Linked DNA regions of Diceros bicornis minor. The main gene of each other region encodes a partner of the protein of the gene in region 2 in a complex. Links are inferred from orthologs where the notes say so. Each region holds a gene or a part of one and is shown on either strand. Other genes may lie near its edges. The genes, in order: SLPI and ELANE.

Evidence for each region.
Region 1: the proteins of ELANE (region 2) and SLPI are in contact, whole or in part, in a crystal structure (PDB 2Z7F), measured with the Homo sapiens proteins. The link is inferred for Diceros bicornis minor from reciprocal best matches to the Homo sapiens genes ELANE and SLPI. Residues at the interface, in NP_001963.1 of Homo sapiens: His53, Phe54, Cys55, His70, Cys71, Asn74, Val75, Pro111, Val112, Asn113, Leu114, Leu158, Ile165, Leu180, Arg182, Val197, Cys198, Phe199, Gly200, Asp201, Ser202, Ala216, Ser217, Phe218, Val219, Arg220, Gly221; in NP_003055.1 of Homo sapiens: Tyr93, Gly94, Gln95, Cys96, Leu97, Met98, Leu99, Pro102, Phe104, Met121, Cys122.

Annotation. Positions count from the first base shown.
Region 1 is NC_080758.1:15,990,056-16,000,008, forward strand, and holds SLPI (antileukoproteinase), read left to right. Parts: upstream 1-5,298; 5' UTR 5,299-5,310; coding exon 5,311-5,392; intron 5,393-6,077; coding exon 6,078-6,236; intron 6,237-6,725; coding exon 6,726-6,875; intron 6,876-7,454; coding exon 7,455-7,459; 3' UTR 7,460-7,664; downstream 7,665-9,953.
Region 2 is NW_026691553.1:442,132-451,609, reverse strand, and holds ELANE (neutrophil elastase), read right to left. Parts: upstream 4,950-9,478; 5' UTR 4,941-4,949; coding exon 4,874-4,940; intron 4,502-4,873; coding exon 4,348-4,501; intron 4,227-4,347; coding exon 4,085-4,226; intron 3,583-4,084; coding exon 3,352-3,582; intron 3,206-3,351; coding exon 3,029-3,205; downstream 1-3,028. Other genes in the region: CFD (complement factor D), read right to left, coding at 1-128, 664-721; myeloblastin-like, read right to left, coding at 4,989-5,312, 6,243-6,423, 7,736-7,816, 8,007-8,179, 8,656-8,886, 9,396-9,478. UniProt on the Homo sapiens protein: Serine protease that modifies the functions of natural killer cells, monocytes and granulocytes. Inhibits C5a-dependent neutrophil enzyme release and chemotaxis. Promotes cleavage of GSDMB, thereby inhibiting pyroptosis. Promotes blood coagulation.

The DNA.
Region 1 (9,953 bases), on a different chromosome or scaffold from region 2:
GAGAAACATAGTGAATTTTTAGCTAAGGGCAAAGAAGCCACTTGCTATCAGTACAGGGAGAACTGAAACATATCTCCTTTAGACTGGGCAACTGGGGCTTCTGGCCTGGGTCTAACACCTCAGGGTCCTGTGCTTTGGGGCGCCTTCCTCAAGATTGTCTGTATTCCCCTTCGCTGCCTGGGGCCAGCCAGGGCCAGCAGTGCCATTGGGGTGGTACCTCCAGCCTGGACTGAGACCCGCATGTGTCCTGGTCCTCCTCTCCCCCCTCTGGGCTCTTTCTCACCCTCTACTCCTCCCCCCACCGCTGGCATCCAGGGCAACCACCCTACCGGACTGCAGCTCTGCAACACCAAGGGGCCCTTCCAATGGATTTGGATTTTTTGTTTGTTTATTCGTTTAGCCTCTGATTAACCAGTGCTCTCTTGGGTCAGTCTGGAGCCATGAAGAATGAGGAATGGATATTTCTTGTGCGAATGGACCTCTCTTCTCACTTTACCCATGAGCCCCTGTAGGGCCAGCTACATCATTTGTGGGGCCCAGGGCAAAGTGAAAATGTGGGGCCTTTTGTTTAAAAGCAGGAAAAAACTGCTGTTAAAGGCACTAAAAAACTCCCAGCCAAACAAAAAGCCCACTTTTTCCTTTCCTCTGTGATCTCTCATGGTGTTTTTTATTTGTCATTTACCATTGCTTCCCCGCAGGCATGGGGATACTCACAGGGAGAGTGCAGAGTGCACTCCTCAGTGCCCCTGGTCCCATCCCACTACTCAGCATGTCCACGGGCAGGACCACCAGCGGCCAGGGCCCCCTTCCCACTAGCTGCATTGGTGGTCAACAACAAGGAAAACCTTTGAGACAATACTTGGAAGCCAGAATTGAGGGGTGGATAATGGGTCACGGAGCCTCAGGAGTAATGATACAACTGGCATTAAATAAACGGTACTGGGAACTACAGAGGGAAGAAGGCTGTACTAGTCAGCATTCTCCAGAGAAATGGAACCAATATATATATATATATTGTAGATAGACAGATAGACAGACAGACAGACAGATAGATAGATAGAGAGATCATAGAGGGAGGGAGAGAGGAAGAGAGAGAGAGAGAATGAGAGACATATTTATTTTAAGGAATTGGCTCATGCAGTCCTGGAGCCTGCAGGTATAAAATCCACAGGAAAGGCAGGAAATTCAGATAAGAGCTAATGTTGCCTTCTTGCCCCTGAATCTGCAGGGCAGCAGGCTGGAAAGTCAGGCAGGGTTCCTAGGTTTCAGTCTTGAGGAACATTCCTTCTTCTTCAGGAAACCTCTGTCTTTGCTCTCAACTGATTGGATAGGCCCACCCACATTGTGGAGGGTAATCTGCTTGACAAAAAGTCTTCTGATTTAAATGTTTAATCACATCTAAGAAATACCTTCACAGCAACATCTAGATTGGTATTTGGCCAAACAACAGAGCACCAGAACCTGGCCAAATTGGCACATAAAGTTAACCACCACAAAAGTCTATACTGTTTTAACACAAACAATAGAGACCCATGGCACTCTGAGTAATAACAGAGCTGCCACACTTTCTTGTGCTGGGAGATGCGAAACGAGTCACATCTAACAATAACAACATGAAGAGCTCGTTTCTGGACCCATAGAGGAAGAAATGGTGCCTGGATACTAAGAAGAAGCTTCATATGCTCTGGCTGGACAATAAGAAAATATGTTGGCACCTCTTCTCTACCATTATTCCAAATCGTCATGGATGAATCACTATATATATATATAAATCACATGGGCCCGTGAATTTTGTAATGTATTTTTTAACCAAATTGTTTGTATAGATACAGGCCCCAGAAAAATATTTGCCGGGGTCCCCATACAGCCTAGGAGCAAGAGGGGTCCAGACTCAAGCACTGGGCTGTAGTTGGAGCCTGACAGCTCCCTGTACGCCTAGTGTACAGTGTAGCCGACTGTAATGAGAACAGTGTCGGCCATCCTGACTGCAGCAGACACTGTGCTGAGGTCTTGCCAAATACTCCTCGCAACAACTGTGCGGCATAAAAGAAACCAATACTCCCATCTTACAGCTGAGGAAACTGAGGCTCAGAGAGGTTCAGCGAGCTTCTTCCAACCCAGATGACCCTGACTCTAAGTTTAGGTTCTTAACAGTCATGCGATATGGACTCCATGTATCTCCTTCATTGCAGCCTCAGGACCTAGCACAATACCTGGCATGCAGTAAGAACTCATTAAATAGTTTTTGTGTGAATGAATTGAATGACTGAATGAGTCTACGGTATTCAGTAGAAGGCAATGGAGGGCATGTGAAGTGGCTCAGTGAATCAATCTTGAGGTAAGATTGAGTTAGGAAGGGATGCGTCCACCACCAAACATGTTCTGGGGATCAGCACTGGAGTAACAAGTTTTGGAAGAGCCCAATCTTGTCTTGTGTAATTAACTCATTATGCAGCCTTGGGCTCATACCTTCTCCTGACAGCAGCAGTCTCATGCTGCAAGATGGAGGTTTGGTCTAGATCAAGAGTCAGCAAACATTTGCTGTGAAGGACCAGAGAGCAAATATTTTAGGCTTCCCTGTAAATAATTTAGGTCTCTGCTGCAATTACTAGACTCTGTGACTGTAGTGGGAAAGTAAGTAGCCACAGACAATACATAAACCAATGAATGTGCGCCATGTTCCAATAAAGCTTCGTTTAGAAAAATAGGCAGCTGTCCGGATTTGGTCCAGAGGCTGTAGTTTGCTGATCCCCGGTCTAGATGACCTCTGAGACCCCTAACAGTCTATGATTTAAAGATTTAGAACCAATTGTGTGTTGGACAGAAATGATCATACAATGTCATTATCCTCCTACGGTGCCCATGGCAGACATTGCTAACTGATCACAGGGCTCTTTTCTGATGAGAAAGGAGTTGGCCTTATCAATCAATCGCAGATAGAGAGCTCTGGCTGTAGCACTCTCTCTTTCTCTCTTTAAGAAGCAAATATTTAGAAAACTCCAGACCTGTCTTGAGTGTGACGTTGAAGAAGATAGGAAGAAACAGAGAGTGGGGGGTGTGGCAGCTTCTCCCACTCTCATCCTTGTGTGAGAAGAGTCAAGCTGCCCCCTGGGTGGTGTAAGTGAGACCCAAAATCCAGAACCTAAGCCAAGCTGTTTCACCTGACAGTGATGCTGCCCATTGGCAGAAGTCAGCCCCTCCGCCTCTCTCTTGCCCTCCTGAGCGCTCCAGCTGGTAGTGAATGCCCCTGGCTCCCACTCATTATCCAGCGTGTGCTAATTTTCTTCATTCTCTTTTCCCACCAAAATGTAAACCATCAAGTGACTTCTGCGTAGAGGGATCTGCTGCCTGTTGACTGTCTAGTTGGAGAATACTTTACAAATTAATTCATGTGGAGCCGTCACTGCTTGATAACGCCTGACTTGTTCAGGTGTATTTGAATTTTTACAAACTTTCACTTTGAGGAATGAGTGGGGAAATCCCAAACATCAAGAAGTCACATGATATTGAGGGAAGAGCTTGGGCTTTGCAGTTAGACAAGTTTGGGTTGAATTCTAGAGATAATGATCACTCTTTGGATAATTAGAAGCAATCTAGGCAGACTGGGTAGCACATAGAATAGGTTTAATATATGGCAGCCATAATTCTTTTATCACATGAAATCTGTAGGGGGTTTTGGGGTAGAAAGCATTCCTCTAATGTCCCAGATTACACAATACAGTCATGCACCACATGACGACATTTTGGTCAATGATGGACCACATATACAACAGCGGTCCCGTAAGATTAGTACCATATAGCCTAGGTGCATAGTAGGCTCTACCATCTAGGTTTTGTGCAAGTACACTCTATGATGTTTGCACAATGATGAAATCACCTAATGATGCATTTCTCAGAATGTATCCCCATCAGTAAGCAGCACGTGACCATGTAACTAAATGTTGATTACAGTGACCAGTGAGCAGCTTTGCCACTTTGTCACAGATTCATTCCAATTCTCTTCAGTTGTAAGGGATACAATTCATTTATTCTTTTCAGGGTCCTTTCACACTCTTAATATCACAACACCCGGGGCTGATTTGTCAGTATCATCCCATTTCACAGTTGGGAAAACTGAGCTCCAAAGAGATTTGCTGAGGGCAGAGCTCTTCTTTCTGCACATTTTATTTGACAATTGTTAATGAGCACTTTCCATGTCTCAGGCACAGAATAGGCCCGGGGATACAGTGGTGTGAGTATTTTTGGGAAATAAATATTTGCTGGTTGACTGATATGTTGTCTGATCTTTTGAGAAGGAAATTGCACTGACAATCAGGAGAGTTTCACAATCCCCAAGAGTCCAGGAATGTGAGAATTGGGGGTGCATTGCTCAAGGTCCCAGCTGAAAGGCCACGTCTCCCGTTTCAGCTCCAGATGTAAATAGTATCTATGGGGAATCAGAGTTGGCCACCTCAAAATATGTCTCTTTACCTTGATTATTTTCTCTGAAGGACATTTGACCTTCCCCCAAACTGCCTAAAAGGGATAGACTGGGAGGGTCCTTGTTAAGCCCATTCTTATCAAAGTTCTGTTTAAGGGAAATCTCCATTTGTAAAGATATCTCCCTCTCTGCACCAGGAAGAAGGAGGATGACCCTATCTCTAGAAACTCTTATCACTGTGCAAGGCGAGGACTTAAATCTGCATACTCTTGATTACTGTGCTTTCTGGTAATCTCCCATAGCTGACTTTCCCCAGCCCCAACATCCTCCTTTGTCTACCTGAATATGCTATTTAAGGTGAAAACCTCTGCTATTTGTCAAGAAACTCAGTTTCCCTGGTTTCTCCCATGTATACATATTATAAAGCTTTGTTTGATTTTCTCCTGCTATTTGGTCTCATGTCAATTTAATTTGTAGCCCAGCCAGAAAGGACCCAGAGTGGGTAGAACATAGTCTTCCTCCCCTTCACATCTTTGCAGTGACCTCTGCTCCCCCTCTCCACCTACAAGGCTAATGGTCCTGTGGCCCCCACCATGTTCAGGGTTCTGATGGACACCTGACATGACCTCCTTATCAGCCTGGTGATATCTTCCAGGCCAGCCTCTTCTATTTCTTCCCTGGCGTTTATTCTGTTGGTCTCACAGTCTCGCCTGGGACAGGAAAGAGCCACTGTCTCTGTGGTATCAGGACTAATGGTCTCTCCCTTAGCTTCCTGCCTATGCAATCACAGCTGGGAGGGGCCAAGGAAATTCTGGTGGGGCCACACCCACTAGTGAAAGTATAAATAGTGAGATTTGGCGTCGGCCATTAGAGCCACCCCTATCCCCACCATGAAGTTCAGCAGCCTCTCTCCCCTCGTGCTTCTTGCCCTGGGAACCCTGGCACCTTGGGCAGTGGAAGGTGCTAGAAATGGTGAGTTGGAGTCACCTTGGTACAATCTTGGCTGCAGGGTCAGACTTGGGGGCTCCTGGTGGTGTGGGGATATCCCCTTCTCTAGGCTCTGCCCTCTCAGCTTCATTTCAGGAGACCTCCCTGAGGGTGGGTTCATGTCCACCTGGGCTCCCAGGTCTCTGTGAGGGCTTGTGAGCATCTGGAATGCTTCTTTTACTCAGCCACTCTGTCAACCCAGGTCTCACTCCCTCTCTGTTCTTACCCCGCCCCTCCATTACCCTGTCTGTGACTCTCCAGTCCTCACTCTCTGACTCTCTGATTCTCCTTTGTTTCTCTCTGTTTCTGTCGTTTAGTCCCTGTTTTCCTGCCTCTGGCTCTAGCTCTCAAACTGTCATGCTGGTTCTATTCATCTTTGTTTATTTCTCTCCATCTCCATCACTCCCAGACCGCCTCTCTGCCTCTGTGAAGACTTGTTTTTCCCCGGGGGCAGGAAGCCTTGGCTGGGAGCCCTATGCCTTTTTCCAGAATCTGTGACTTCTCCTGCCCATGTGTTTAATCAAGCCTGTCACTCCTCATGGAGGTCAGACAGGAATTTCCCTTTGGACTGTGTGGACAGTCACCTGGGTAAGGGTCTCTCCTGGGAAGTGATGGTTTGTTCCCAAGTCATGATGGCTCCTTCCTGAACCCTTGACCTTCTCCTCAAAAGCTTCGAAAGCTGGAGCCTGCCCTCATATAATACCTGCCCAGTGCCTCAGATACGAGGAGCCCGAGTGCCAGAGTGATTGGCAGTGTCCAGGGAAGAAGAAATGTTGCCAGGATGTTTGTGGAATCAAATGCCTGGACCCCGTTAACATCTCGAGCCCAGGTGAGGAGGTGGGAGAGCGGATGGAGGGGAATGAGCCTGAGAACACAGCATCTACAGGGACAGGATTGGGTGATGGGGTCCTGCCAGGCCTCCTCCTTTCCAAGAATTGTTGAGCCAAGTTTGTCAGCTGGTCAGGAGTCATACTGTTCCAGACAGGAAGTTACTCACCTGGCTGCTGAAGCAGCCAGTCTGTCAGGAGGTCAATTTTTCAGGGAATAGTCATCTGGTCATTAGACAACCAGGCAGTTGGCAGCCACCCATCGAAACAGCACTGGACAACTGGTCACCTGCATTGGTGGGGGCCCTGATGTTAGAGGAGAGCCAGATCCTACCTTCAGGGGATACATAGGCCTCAGGAAGGAAGTGCTCGTCATGGGGATGGGGAGGAGGTGATTCTCTTTGCTCAGGCTGGGGCAGGGCCTGGGTCCAAGAAGCAGAGGGGTGGTGTGAAAGGTACAGGCCTCTGACCTGTGGCTCTACACTCACCAGTTGAGAAGAAGCCTGGGAAGTGTCCAGTGGTCTATGGCCAATGTCGGATGCTTAACCCCCTCAATTACTGTGAAACAGACAGCCAGTGCCTGGGTAACCTCAAGTGCTGCAGGGGCATGTGTGGGAAAGCCTGCATTTTCCCTGTGAGAGGTAAGGAGGGGCTGGGAAGACGGACCTCCCTGCCTCCAGCCCTCTCAGTCTCAACCCTCTGGAGGGCCGGGCATATGAGCAGGGGGTCTCCTGAGCCCTACCCCAAGCAGAGCCTCTGCCTGACCCCCTTGTCTTTCAAGAGCACTATTCCCCAAGCCCTAGGGCAAGGATTTCTATAGGATCACTCCTAGCTTTGATTCTGTTCCAGCCTCTCCAGTTGAGGACCCTTGACAAGTGACTCTTTGAGTCTCAGTTTCCTTGTCTGTAAAAGGGACACAGTGAAATTGAAAGTGCTTTGTGAAGCACTGTGTGCACTAAGTATTTATTATTATTTCCAGCATGTTGTCTTGGGTCAAAGCCCAAAGGATCAGTGGATTTTAAGAATAATCTAGCTCAATGCTCTGAGTTTAGAGTTTTATAGTAAAATTGAGACTTGAACTCAGTCTCCCGATACCAAGACTCTTTCAACGATACCACCCCCTTGCTGTTTTCTCTGGCTCGGGGGGGTCTCTTGGGGAAGCAGCTGGAGATGATTTGGCTGGTTCTGCACTGAAGCTCTGATCTGATTTTCTCTCACAGCCTGATTCCTGCCGTTTGGAAGAGGCTCTGGATCCCTACTCTGTGCGGTCCGAGAATTCCCTTTTTGCTCCCAGACCTGGATCCCTGGGGCACTTCACCGTGAAGACTTGGTTCTACCATCAATATCTCCTTTGGGGAAAGGCTGGGCACACAGTAGGCTTTCAGGAAATGCCTGTGGATTGGTGAATAAATAAATGAGCATATTTCTCTCTGTGCATCCTGCTTCTGTGGTTCACTAGGGGGTCCGAGGTGGGTGGGAGGTGACGAGGGAATGTCTGGATGTGAGGCCTCCCTCCTACAGATACGGAAGGGAAGGAAGAGGCTTAGGGGCTGGACAGACATGAATTTACATCACGAATCTGAAAACATTGGCTCGTGATTTTGGACAAGTGACTTTGTCTCCTAAATCTCAATTCTTTATCTGCAAAGTGGCAATAAAAATCACTTTCTTACAGTGTTTGGAGCTTTGGGGTATGCAACGTATGTGAAATAAATAACAATGTTACTGGGCCACAGCAGGTTCTCCAAAAATGGTGGATTCTTGCCTTCTGCGGTGATTTTGAGCCTCTTTCTTTTCTTCTCTCTCTCAAAACACTATTTCTTCTGTCTTAAAATAAATGTTGAGCAGAACAATGTGCACAAGTTATCAATCCCAAAGGAGGACCCCAAGCACTTCTGCCCACTGCATCTTGATATCAGAGTCTCCAAGGAAAGCACAACGCAGCCAAGGGCTGCATGGCACAATGCTTTACTTACACAGCAAAGAATCGGCTTCTGTGGAGGGCCTCGATCTCCCATGGCCAGTGAGTCTCTCCCGGCAGCTGAGGCAGGGCAATTTACCTACGTGCACCCCTCTCATGCCACAGTAGAAGGACTCCGTCCCCTCCCAGTAGAGGACAGATACAGCACTGGGGCTGGCCAGATGCCATATAGCGCACACACTACACAGAACAAAGGAGCTTACGTTGAGCTTGAAGCAAGGAAAGATCTTCACACACGAGGCGATAGGCCTGGCACAAGCTGTGTGGGTTCTTTATCTCTTGGTAAGTAAATATTTCAGGTCCAAGGCCCGTTCTTATGCAACTGAGTGGGGGATGCATGTACCAGACTGCCTTTCCCAACAATAAGAATATTGTCATGGTGGGTCACGGTTATGACGTGCTGTTGGCCAATACCACGTGAGGGTGATGCTCTTGACTCCATAGAGCAGGAAGAGTAACAAAAGCCAGACTCCTGGAACTGGGGACGAGCAGGGAAGCTTGCTTCACATTTCTCTGGGCTCTACAGACTCTAAAGGAAATAGAGAACATGATTAGATAATGATTAAAAAAAAGACAAAACAAAAAATTGTAATGTAATCATTTCCCGGAAGACTTCACTGGTCTAAGAAAATATTCCATGCCACTTTCAAGCAATGTTCCAAGAGCAGCAACTGGATGTATTAAATAAACCGTTTTGGAGAAGAGGTGAAAGAGGGGAAGCCATTTTATTTGTTTTATGAGTGTGGTAGCCACCCTCCAAGATGGCGCCCAGTGATCCTCGCCTCTTGGCATTCACACCCGTGTGTAGACCTCTCCCACATTTTTGCACGGTTGGTCTGTGTGACCAATAAAATATTGCATAGTGATAGATAGTTTTGTCCTTATGAGATTAGATGATAAAAAGATTGCAGCTTCCATTTTGGAAGTGCATGCTCTCTCCCACCACTTGCTCTGGCAGAACTCAGCTGCCATGTCACGAGGACACTCAGCCAGCTGTGGCGTGGCCCATAAGGTAAGGACCTAATATCTCAGGCCAACAGCCTGTGGGGAACTCAGGCCCACCAGCAAACACACAAGTGAGCTTGGCAGGAGATTTTTCAGTCCTAGATTTTTCACAGTCTAGTCTTGAAATGACTCAAGTCCCAGCAGAGAGCTTGATTATAACTTTGTGAGTGACCTCGAGCCAGAACCACCCAGCTCAGCTGCTCTCGAATTTCTGACCCTCAAACTGTGAGAGAATGTTTACGGTTTTAAGATGCTAAGTTTTGGGGCAATTTGTTATGCAGCAATAGATAACTAATGCAATGAGGTTAGCAAAACTTTGATGCTACAACCAAATATGGACAGTAGAAGAAAAGATAATTACAAACCAATGTTGTCTTCTCTGAACAAAGCTGGGAACATCCTAAATAAAATGTTAAAAATTAGAATTCTGTGAGGGTTTAAAATGCTTTCAGGAGAATTCAATGTGAATTCTTTATTGAAAATAAGAATAGAAAGGATAGAAATTAATCCAAAAAAAGAAAAAAGAAACCTACCTGAAACTCTAGCAAAACCTACATTAAGTTGAATTTTCAGAGGTATTGTCGCTCAAGTCAGAAAGAGAATAAGGATCACTGCTGTTTTTCAACAGTGTATGAAATACACAAAACTATGCAATAAGATGAGATAAAGGGATATAGCATTTCTACACATTATCTATAACCAATTAGAAATAGTAGAAGTAGACACAAACAAT
Region 2 (9,478 bases):
CACCCACTGCGCCGCCACCAGGAAGCCCCCGCACACGTGCTTGCCGGCCACCTGCACCGACGCCATGTAGGGCCGCGCGTGCGCCTCGGCCTCCTGGCCGCGCAGGATCCGGCCGCGGGGCTGCGCCGCTGGGGGCGGCAGGGGGCGCGAGGGCTTCCGGGTGACTGCAGCCCAGCCCTCGGATGCCCCTTCCCCACCCAGGCCGCCCCAGCCCTCAGACCTGAAATTCCATCCCTGGGATCCCCCGCCCAGTCTCAAATCTGGGGGCCAGGGAGGAGTGCCAGAGGAGACAGAGGCAATAGGGCGTGGTGGGGTCTGGAGCCAATTCCCTCCCTACACACCGCCCTAAGGGCTTCAAGTTAAACAGGAGAAGAGTGGGGTGACCAAACCCAACCCTCCCGCCGTGGTTTCACCCCGGACCCCCGTTTCCCACCATAGACCCTCAGACCCTTGTTGTGGGGGGGGGGAGTGCAGGATGCTCATGCATCAGGGTTCTGAGAATTTCTTGACTTTCAGAGCCTTCCGCTCTCATGGACCCTGCCGCTCCTCCTGCCCACCGAATGGGGCTGGGGGACAGTCTTGTTTGGCAGAGGGGGACCCCTGGCTGACCACCCTGCAGGCGGGTGGCCCCCCGGCTATCCCTGCCATCCCAGGTCCACTCACCACATAGGGCCACGCCCAGGAGGACCAGAGCCGCCAGGTGCCCGGTGTGGCCTGCCATGATGCCGCTGTGGCCTCACACTGGCCCAGGCGGGGCCCCGGGGGTGCTTTTATCAGAGCGGAGAGGGGCGGGCGGCTCCCACAAGCCCCATGGTCCGAGGGGCAGCGGCCCAGCAGGGGAAAGGGGAACCTTGTGTCCCGCCCACTCCTGCGGGTTTTCTCCTGGGGGACTTTGCGCCAAGAGTCGTTGGCCCCCGGGGATGCCTCCCGCCTCTGCGCACCCGGCCCAGGGCTGGCCCCAGAGTGGGGAGCAGACCCTCAGGATGGGCAGGGGGCAGAGCCGGACCCACCCCAGCCCCCAGCCCCTGCTCCCCAGGGGGCCCTGAGGTTTCGCAACAGCAGCTAGAGGCCATAGTTTATAAACAACCATTTCCTCATGCGTTCGCTCCTCCCTTTGTTTTCTTCCTCCTCCAACTTGGACAGGAGGTCGGGTGGGGGTGGGAGAAAGGTCGCCTGACACCCTTGTCCCCGTGGCTGTGGCTCTGGGGCCTGACACCCCAACAACAGTATTGGAAAGTTGTCGTGTAGGGGGGCAGCGGGGAAGATGAGGAAATTCAAATGGAAAGTTCAGGGTCCACCTTCAGGTGTGGCTTGATCCAGGCACCTAAAAAATGTCAGGTCTCTGCCTCTGGTTTCTACTTTCCTCCTTGATGGCTTTTCTCCTCACCAGGCTCCCCTACTCTGTCCCCCGGGGCCCCAGACTCAGCCTAGCGGCTCTGTGGGCCTCCTCAAATTCCCCATCACTCCAGCCAGTGTCTCAAGGCCACCTCTAGTTGGCCGAGCTTGGACCGCACACCCCCTCCCAAACCAGGCACTGGGGGCAGGGGATGGCGGGTTCTCATGAGTGGACCCCGGCTCACACAGCCCTCAGTAAGGGGGGGATGCTGGCTCAACCCCTCAGGAACCTACAGGGGAAGGTGCTGGGACCAGCAGGGTCGGGGGACCTCGACGTCCCCAGTGGGAACCGTGCGTGATACTTTCCCCTCTATTTCTTTTCCCTTCCAGGCAGACGATTTCATACACGCAGAGGAAAATAGAAAATAACACAGCAAACGTGATTTCCTAACTAACACGTTTCCTCGTTAAAATCAGAAACTGAACAAACAGCCGTGGGGATGCGGAGTCCGGGTTATGTAAGAGGGGACAATTATGAAATTACAACAAAACCTGGAGGCCACCCAGCGAGACCGGCCGGTTCACTAAACAACCCTGAGTGTCCCCAGATGCCGCTGACGTGGAGAGACCGCCAGGCGCCAAGGTCTGTGGGGGAGGCCATCTCGGGGCAGCGGAGGCCGCTCTGAGCTGCTGGCCCCGGGAGAGGGGGGTCGGCGGACGGCCCGCGGGGACAGGGGGCAGAATGAGGCAAAGACCCCGGGTGGGCCCCGGGCCACGAGCTCCAGCGGGAGGGGTCGGGGCAGGGACGGAGGGGGAGATTCACCTCAAACTCGCGGCACGTGGGGGCGTTATGTGAAGTCACTTCTCTCGTTTTTTGTCTCTGCTTTGGTGGCCCCGCCACCATCAGCCTTCGAGCTGCACGATGGAGATGGTCCCGCCCGTGGCCCCGGCCCAGGGAGGCAGAAGAGGGGCACAGGCCCCCCCAGGGCTGGTTCCATCGGGGCGTGGTTCCCTCGGGAAACGTGCTCTGCCCCTCTTCCCTCATCAGAGCAAAAGTCCAGGGTGGGGGGTGGCTCGTCCCCGTCACCCAGTGCAGCCGAGGCCACCAGGACCCCACCCCAGGCTGTGCCCTTTCCAGACGGCGGTGAAACCGAGGCTCAGAGACAGTGAGCGAGTTGCCCAAAGTCACAGAGCTGGGCGTCAAACTCAGGCTCCCGGGCCCGGCTTCACACCTCTCTGCGCCCCCACTCCCTTGTCTGTGAGGCGGGGGCTCCAAGAGGACCCCCCTCGAGGGCTGGAGGAGTGAGGTCCCCCCAAGACTCAGAACATTCCCGTACCTCGTGAGCACTCAACGAACACCGCCACAGTGCTTTGTCATCACCACCGGCGACACTCGTGTGATCCCATGAAAGTGGGTTTTATGGGGGGGAATCCAGAAATGGTAACCCGAATCCTTTCGTGGAAGGAGGTGGGGAAGGGACTTCTCACGTCAATGCCCCACATTTGCCGCCACCTGGTGGCAGCATACCCCAGAGGTGCCCTGACGACTTTCCACACCCGCTGGCACAACCGACACACAGCCAGACACGTTCTACAAAAGGGAGAGGGTTTTTATTGGGCGAGGTGCCCGGGGACGCGGCGTGGGAAGGGCCTGGCTGGGGCAGGCGAGGCAGGGGCACCCGGGCCGCCCTTCCTAGCGGGCCCCGCTCAGAGGGTCCCCGTGGCGGCGGAGGATGGAGTTGATCCAGCTGGCGAACTGCGCGACGGGGGCGAAGGCGTCGGGGTAGAAGCCAGAGCCGCAGCCTCCGCGGATGAAGGAGTCGATGCCCTGGACCAGCCCGTCGCAGACCAGCGGCCCGCCAGAGTCGCCCTGCGGAGCCCGACAGACGGGGTGGGAGGCTGCGCTGCCCGGGCCCCGCCCCGCTCGGGGTCGGGCAGTCCCTCCCGGGGTCCGGCCGCTGGCCGGGTTGCTGGGGCCGGGCGGGGCTCGGGGTGGGGGACGCGGGGGGCACTCACGAAGCAGATGCCGGCCCGGCGCCGCGGCACCAGCGTGCACACGTTGGAGCGTTGGCACAGGGAGGTCACCACCGTCACGTTGAGCTGCTGCAGGATGCTGGGCAGCCGCCCATTGGTGCCCAGCCGGCCCCAGCCCATGGCCAGGCACTGCGTCCCGTTCCTGGGGCTGCGCCCCTGGGCGGGCAGCTGGGCCACCTGCACGTTGGCATTGATGGTGGCCAACCCGTCGAGCTGGGACAGAGCACGTGAGTGTCACACGGGGCGCGGGCGACGGCCCTCCCCTCCCCGGCCTCAGTTTCCCTGTCTGTAATTGGCAGCAACCACAGTGGCCCGGGGCGCCCCGGACATGACTTGAGTGCTGTAAACAGGAGGTGCTTAATAATGGTGCTATAAACAGTAGGTGCTCAATAAAACAAACCATGGGCAACACTGAGGCCAATAAAACCCTCGTTCTAGAACATTCTCAGAGAAGAATCAGAAGAGTGGGATGGGAGGGTTTCTGCCTTGAGTCTCCCGCTGGCCCGAATGTGGGACTTGTGACAGGGCACGAATAACGGCGTTTGTTGATTGACTATTGCTCAGAGCTCCCGATGTCGTCTCTCACAATCTCTCCGAGGCCCGGCCAGGCGGGGTTTGTCTCCCCGAGTCACAGAGGGGAGACCGAGGCACAGAGAGACGACGTGCCTGTGACAGCTGGGGTCCCCCTGTCCACCCCCCGGCCCCTGGCCCCCACCTGGAGAACCACGATGTCGTTCTGCAGCGTCGTGGGGTCGAAGCCGTTCTCGAAGATCCTCCGGACGCCGAATGTCTGGCGGGTGCGCTCGCGCCGCCGCAGGTTGTGGGCCCCCAGCACCACCTGCACCGACCGGAAGTTGCTGCCGGCAACGGGGGGACAGGGGGTGACTCGGGCGGCCCCGGGGTCGGGGGTCAGCCCGCCCCTCGAGGAGCGAGGACAGACGGGGACACTGAGGGCCGGGGCGGATACGGGGGACTCACCGGCCATTCACGCAGTGCGCGGCCGACAGGACGAAGTCACGGGCGATCAGGGTGGCCCCGCAGAAGTGGCTTCCCCGCTGCAGGGACACCATGAAGGGCCACGCATGGGGCCGGGCCGGCTGGCCACCCACGATCTCCAAGGCCAGTGCAGGGCCTGGGGCACACGGGGGGGCAGGGCCGGTCAGCCACCCGGCTCACACCAGGACCCCAAGGGGTCCAGGCTCTTTGTGCTCACTGCCCAGATGGGGAAACTGAGGCACAGAGACGCAGAGAGGGGGCTGCCATGGTCCCCCAGCCGGGGTGCGGCTAGATTGGGGCTTAACGTGGCTTTGGAGTCCCCAGAGGGCGCCCAGGGACCCCCCGGTTCAAACCCCAGCTCTGGACTCCCACCACTCAGAACCTCAGTCTCTTCCTCTGGAAACATGTCACCTCATCCCAGCCGTCACCTCCCCACGAGGACGAGGGGCCCATGAGAGGCAGGAAGAGACGTCCAGGGACAGACAGACGGACACGCCGCCCCACTCACCGCCCAGCAGCACAGCCAGCAGGATGGGGGCGAGTACAGGGCTGGAGGGTGTGCGGCTGCCAGTCATGGTCGGGCGAGGCTCCGCGTCTCTGCCCCCCGTGCCCGCCGGCCCCTCTTATGGCCCCCACGCCGAGGCCGTTGCCGTTGCCCCACTTCCTGTCCCCCCCGGGGACGTGGAGACGAGGGGGTGACAGCAGGAAGCATGGGAGGAGGTGAGCCGGGGCCGGGGGTCCGGATCAATCTCGGACGCGCCATTCCGTCTGAACGTGGGATTCGCCGGTTTTAGTGCAAGTCCGTCCCAAATACCAGGCGGGGTACGCTTATCTGCAGGGTCAGTGCCCCAGGGACGTCGGCTGGGCCCCCCGCCTCGGTTTCCCCGGGGCACCCTCATAACCACAACGATGGCGTTCCACAGGGGTGGCGGGGGCTGCTGGGCCCTCTGAGATGGGGAAACGGAGGCATGGCGGGCCCATGAGTGGGTGACGCGGGGGCAGAGGGTTCTGAGCCCAGGCCCCACAGTTCACAGCTGGACGTGGCCCCTGCTCCCCACCACGGCCTCTCCCTCTCGGGGTCCGGCCGTCCAGCCTCTCTTTGGTTGCTGCTCGCGACGGGGAGCTCACTCCCCCCCGGGGGCCCGGTCAGTCTCGGGTCCCCAGCGGAGGTTCCGGGAAAGGACCCCTCCCAATCGGCTCCCCCCACCAGCCTCTCTGGACCCCTTCCCACCCGGGTCGGGGGGACGTGCTGGAGAAAGGATGTCTGGGCCTGGAGGCCGGACCGTGGGTCTCCGCCCACGTCTGGGAGCTTCTGCCTGGAAGAACTGGGTGTTGCAAGAAGCAACGTCCCCCCGGCTGGAAGCGAGGGTCACGGAAGGGAACCAACGGATCCTCTGCGGGAACAGGAGGGAGGGGCGCCGGGAGCCCGGCCCGGGCTGGAGTCCCCGCCTTGTGTGGCCACGGGCACGACCCCCCACATCTCTCCAGCGAGGACGACCGGGCACACGGCAGGCGCTCGGTGTCCCCTCCCCATCCCTCCCCTGGTCAGACACACATCGACCAGCCCTGCTAACCTCCCCACCCGGTCACGTTCAAGCTACCTTTGAGCACTTAGTCAGCACCTGCTGTATACACAGCCCTGTTTCTAGTTGGGAGGGTGGGGGAATGGAGGAGGCCCTGTCTTTGGGGGATGTGGTTTAGAAAGGACACCTTATGTAGCCAAAGCTGCATTTACTGAGCACCACCTGTATACCACGCTCCCCCGTGTCATGACTGTTAAGCGAGTCGACTCTGGGTTCATATCCTGGCTGGCCGATCGCTCCCTGCCTCCTTTCAGGCCCCTGACGTAACCCCCCACCCGTGCCTCGGTTTCCCACTGTGACAATCGGCTCCGTCTCAGGATTGTCTCGGGGATTCGGTGAACGGAGGTGAGTTAAGTCCTTAGATGATCCGGCGCCGCGCTGGGGCGTGTCAACCATTAACCCCCCAGGAGAGCGGGGGTCGGGGATTGCCTGGGGGACCCGGACCCCTGGAGAGTTCTGACTCGTGATCAGGGCTCTGGGGATGGGCCAGGGGGATGCTGAGCCCTTGGGGGCCCCTCGCTCCCTGAGCCTCCCCAGTCGTGTCCCCCGAAACGTCCTTTGATTCTTCCTGTGGGTTTGTCCTCCCCACGTGTCCGCAGCCCCCGCTGACCTCGGCAAGTCAACCGGGTGCCCCTGGGACCCCGATCCTCAACTCCCCCCGGGTCTGATCGTTGGGGCGCAGAACGTTCCTCTGACCACCGTTCACACACGTGAACCCACAGGAGACGCCCGGGGCTGGGTGTCTGGGTCTCTCTGTTCCCGTTGTCAGGCTCTCTTGACGTTCCCTCCCGCAGACCCCAACCCCGGGCACCGGGAGGTCCCTCTGGGCTCTTTACAGAAACCTCGTCCCGGCCCCGGGCCCCTGGGAGAGGTGAGGACTCTCAGCAGCCCCTGATCCTCATCAGCTACATTTCCCGGGATCGGCGGCCATGTCCCATGTCTGCTCCTGGCACTGCTGCTCCAAAGCAGGTGCAGCTCCTCCCCGGGGGTGGTCAGTCGAGGTGTGGACCAGTGGACAACGGGGCAGGTCTGGGAGGACTCGCCCTCGCTCCCATTTGTACGCTGCCACCAGGTGGCGGCAGAGTAAATCAATAAGGAATGAGCTGCCTTCCCACTCCAGTGTGCCCCCGGGAGCGGGTCGGCCCCTCTCTCTGAGCCTCGATTGCCTCATCCCTGTGGCCGCTCGCCCTCTCCATGGCTGACCAGTGACCTCTACCTCTTCTCTCTCCTCCAGGCCCACCCCAGTGCCTCTCCGTGGCCCCATGTGCTCTGGCCCCACCACCTCCCTGACCTGCTCTCCTCCCCTATCCCCTCGCCTCTCTCCATTCCAGCAACACCACACGCCGAGCTGTTCCTGACACCCCCCAGCTCGTCCAACACAGGGCCTTTGCACTCGCCATGCCCTGCCTGGCGGCCCTTCTCTTTGTGTTCTAGTCACACACTGACAGTCAGCTCAGGTGTTGCCTCCTCCTCCAGGAAGCCTCCCTCATGGCCCTTCAGCCTGCCCGTGACTGGACCAGGAGCCCCAGAGGCCTGGACACCCCATGTGACGATGGCCTGGTCCTCAAGTGGCCCCCAAGCTGGGAGACCAGAGCCACATGACACCCCCCAGCCCCAAGGGCCAGGCTGGGGCTCCCCCGACATTTTGGCACATGTCTGGGGTGACTCCATCTTCCAGATGAGGAAACCGAGGCGCAGAGGTGGGCAGCAACCTGCCCAGAGCCACACTGGCAGCTGGACTAGAACCCACGTCTGTGGGCGTCCCCACTGTGGCCTGGGCCCCCCACCTCCGGGCCTCCGCTCCACCCCCATCCTGAGCCTGGGGCTCGGGGACTCGGAGCCGGGGACCCTCGGCCGCTCCCCATGCCCTGCGGGAAGGACAGACGGAGGCGGACGGGGAGTTCCAACTTTTATTGAGGTCACTGGGGGGGCCTGGCTCCCGAGAGCCCCATGGGAGGGGGGGGGCGTCTGGAGGAAGCAGCGTTCTGGGGACCCCCCAGATGAGCCCCCCGTCAGGGCTCGGCGTCTGGCCTCAGCAGGCGGGCCGTGGAAGGGTACGGCTCGGGGGCCCCTTCACCCCCTACGCTGCTGAGCACGGAGCGGATCCAGTCCACGTAGAGCGAGACTCGGGCGAAGAAGTCGGGGTACCGGCTGGTGGCGCAGGCCTGGATCACGAAGGAGTCCACGGCCTGGAGGACGCCGTCGCAGATCAGCGGGCCGCCCGAGTCCCCCTGGGAAGGGCGGGGACCGGCCCGTCAGTCACAGGGACGCGGGCCCGGGGGCCGCCCTGCACCATTTAGGGGTAAAATGTCTCCAGCGTGGAATTTTCTTTAAGAGGCATGGGCAGGAGAGAGATGAGGCCACTCCGGAGGAGAGCGGGCATCTATTGGCCTCCTGCTGTATACCCAGACCCCGGGATTCTGGGTCCAGATTCCCGATGATTTCTGAGACGGACCCCTGGAGGCTGCCGGCTATGATGTTTGCGCCCCCTCTGCGCCTGCGGGAGCTGAGGCTGCTCCACGCACCTGAGCCCCTCGTTGGTGAGCCCGCCTCCCGGATGGAGAGACCAAGGCATGGCCGGCCGCTGCCCTGGGTGGGATTCGGATCCGCCCGCCTCCTTTGCCCTGCGCTCCAGGGCAGCCCCCTCCTCCGGGAAGTCCCCCCGGATGTCCCCCGAGGTGCTGGCCCGGGAGTGGGCGGTACGTACAAAGCAGATGCCGGCGCTCCGCCGGGGCACGAAGGTGCACACGTTCTGTGGCCGGCACAGGAAGGTGACCACGGTGACATTGAGCTCCTGCAGGACCCTGGGCAGTGGCTCCTGCGTGCCCAGGCGGCCCCAGCCCATGGCCAGGCACTGGGTGCCCTGGGGCAGCTCCTGGTTCTGCTCGGGCAGCGGGGCTACCGCCACCTGGGCATTGAGGGTGGCCGGGCGGTCCAGCTGGGGCAGAGGAGTGGCGGGGGGAGGTGAGACCCCGTCCCCAGGCCCCACAGCCACCCCCTCCCGCGTCCACTCTACAGTGCCTCTTCCAGGCCTCTGCCTGTGCTGTTCCCTCTGCCCGGCCCCCTCCCGCTCATCCTCAGGGCCACCTCCTCCGGGAAGCCTGCCCCGATTGACCCTCCAAACCGAGCCAGGGCTCGGTTCCTGGGCTAAGCCCTGGGGACCCCACCTCTGCCCTCGGGAGCCGCCCTTTCGGGTGGGAGGTCCCCGGAGCTGTCGTTCCAAGCAGGGCGAGCGGAGGCCTCCAGAGAGGGTGAGGCTGGGGTGAGGGTGTCGGGGCGGGGGCACCCCCAGGGCAGAGGCCGGGGTCAGGGGTGGTTTGAACGGCTCTCCCCTCACCAGGCCAACTGTATACCAGGCCGTGTCCCGGCACCCGCCTGGGGCCTGGTATACAGTAGGCGCTCAATAAGTGCTCGCTGGAGCACGAACGAGCCGGGCCCGGCGCCCACCTGCAGGAGCAGCACGTCATTCAGCTTCTCCTCCGGGTCGTAGTTGTTCTCGAACAGGCGGGCGATGCTGAACTTCTGCTGCG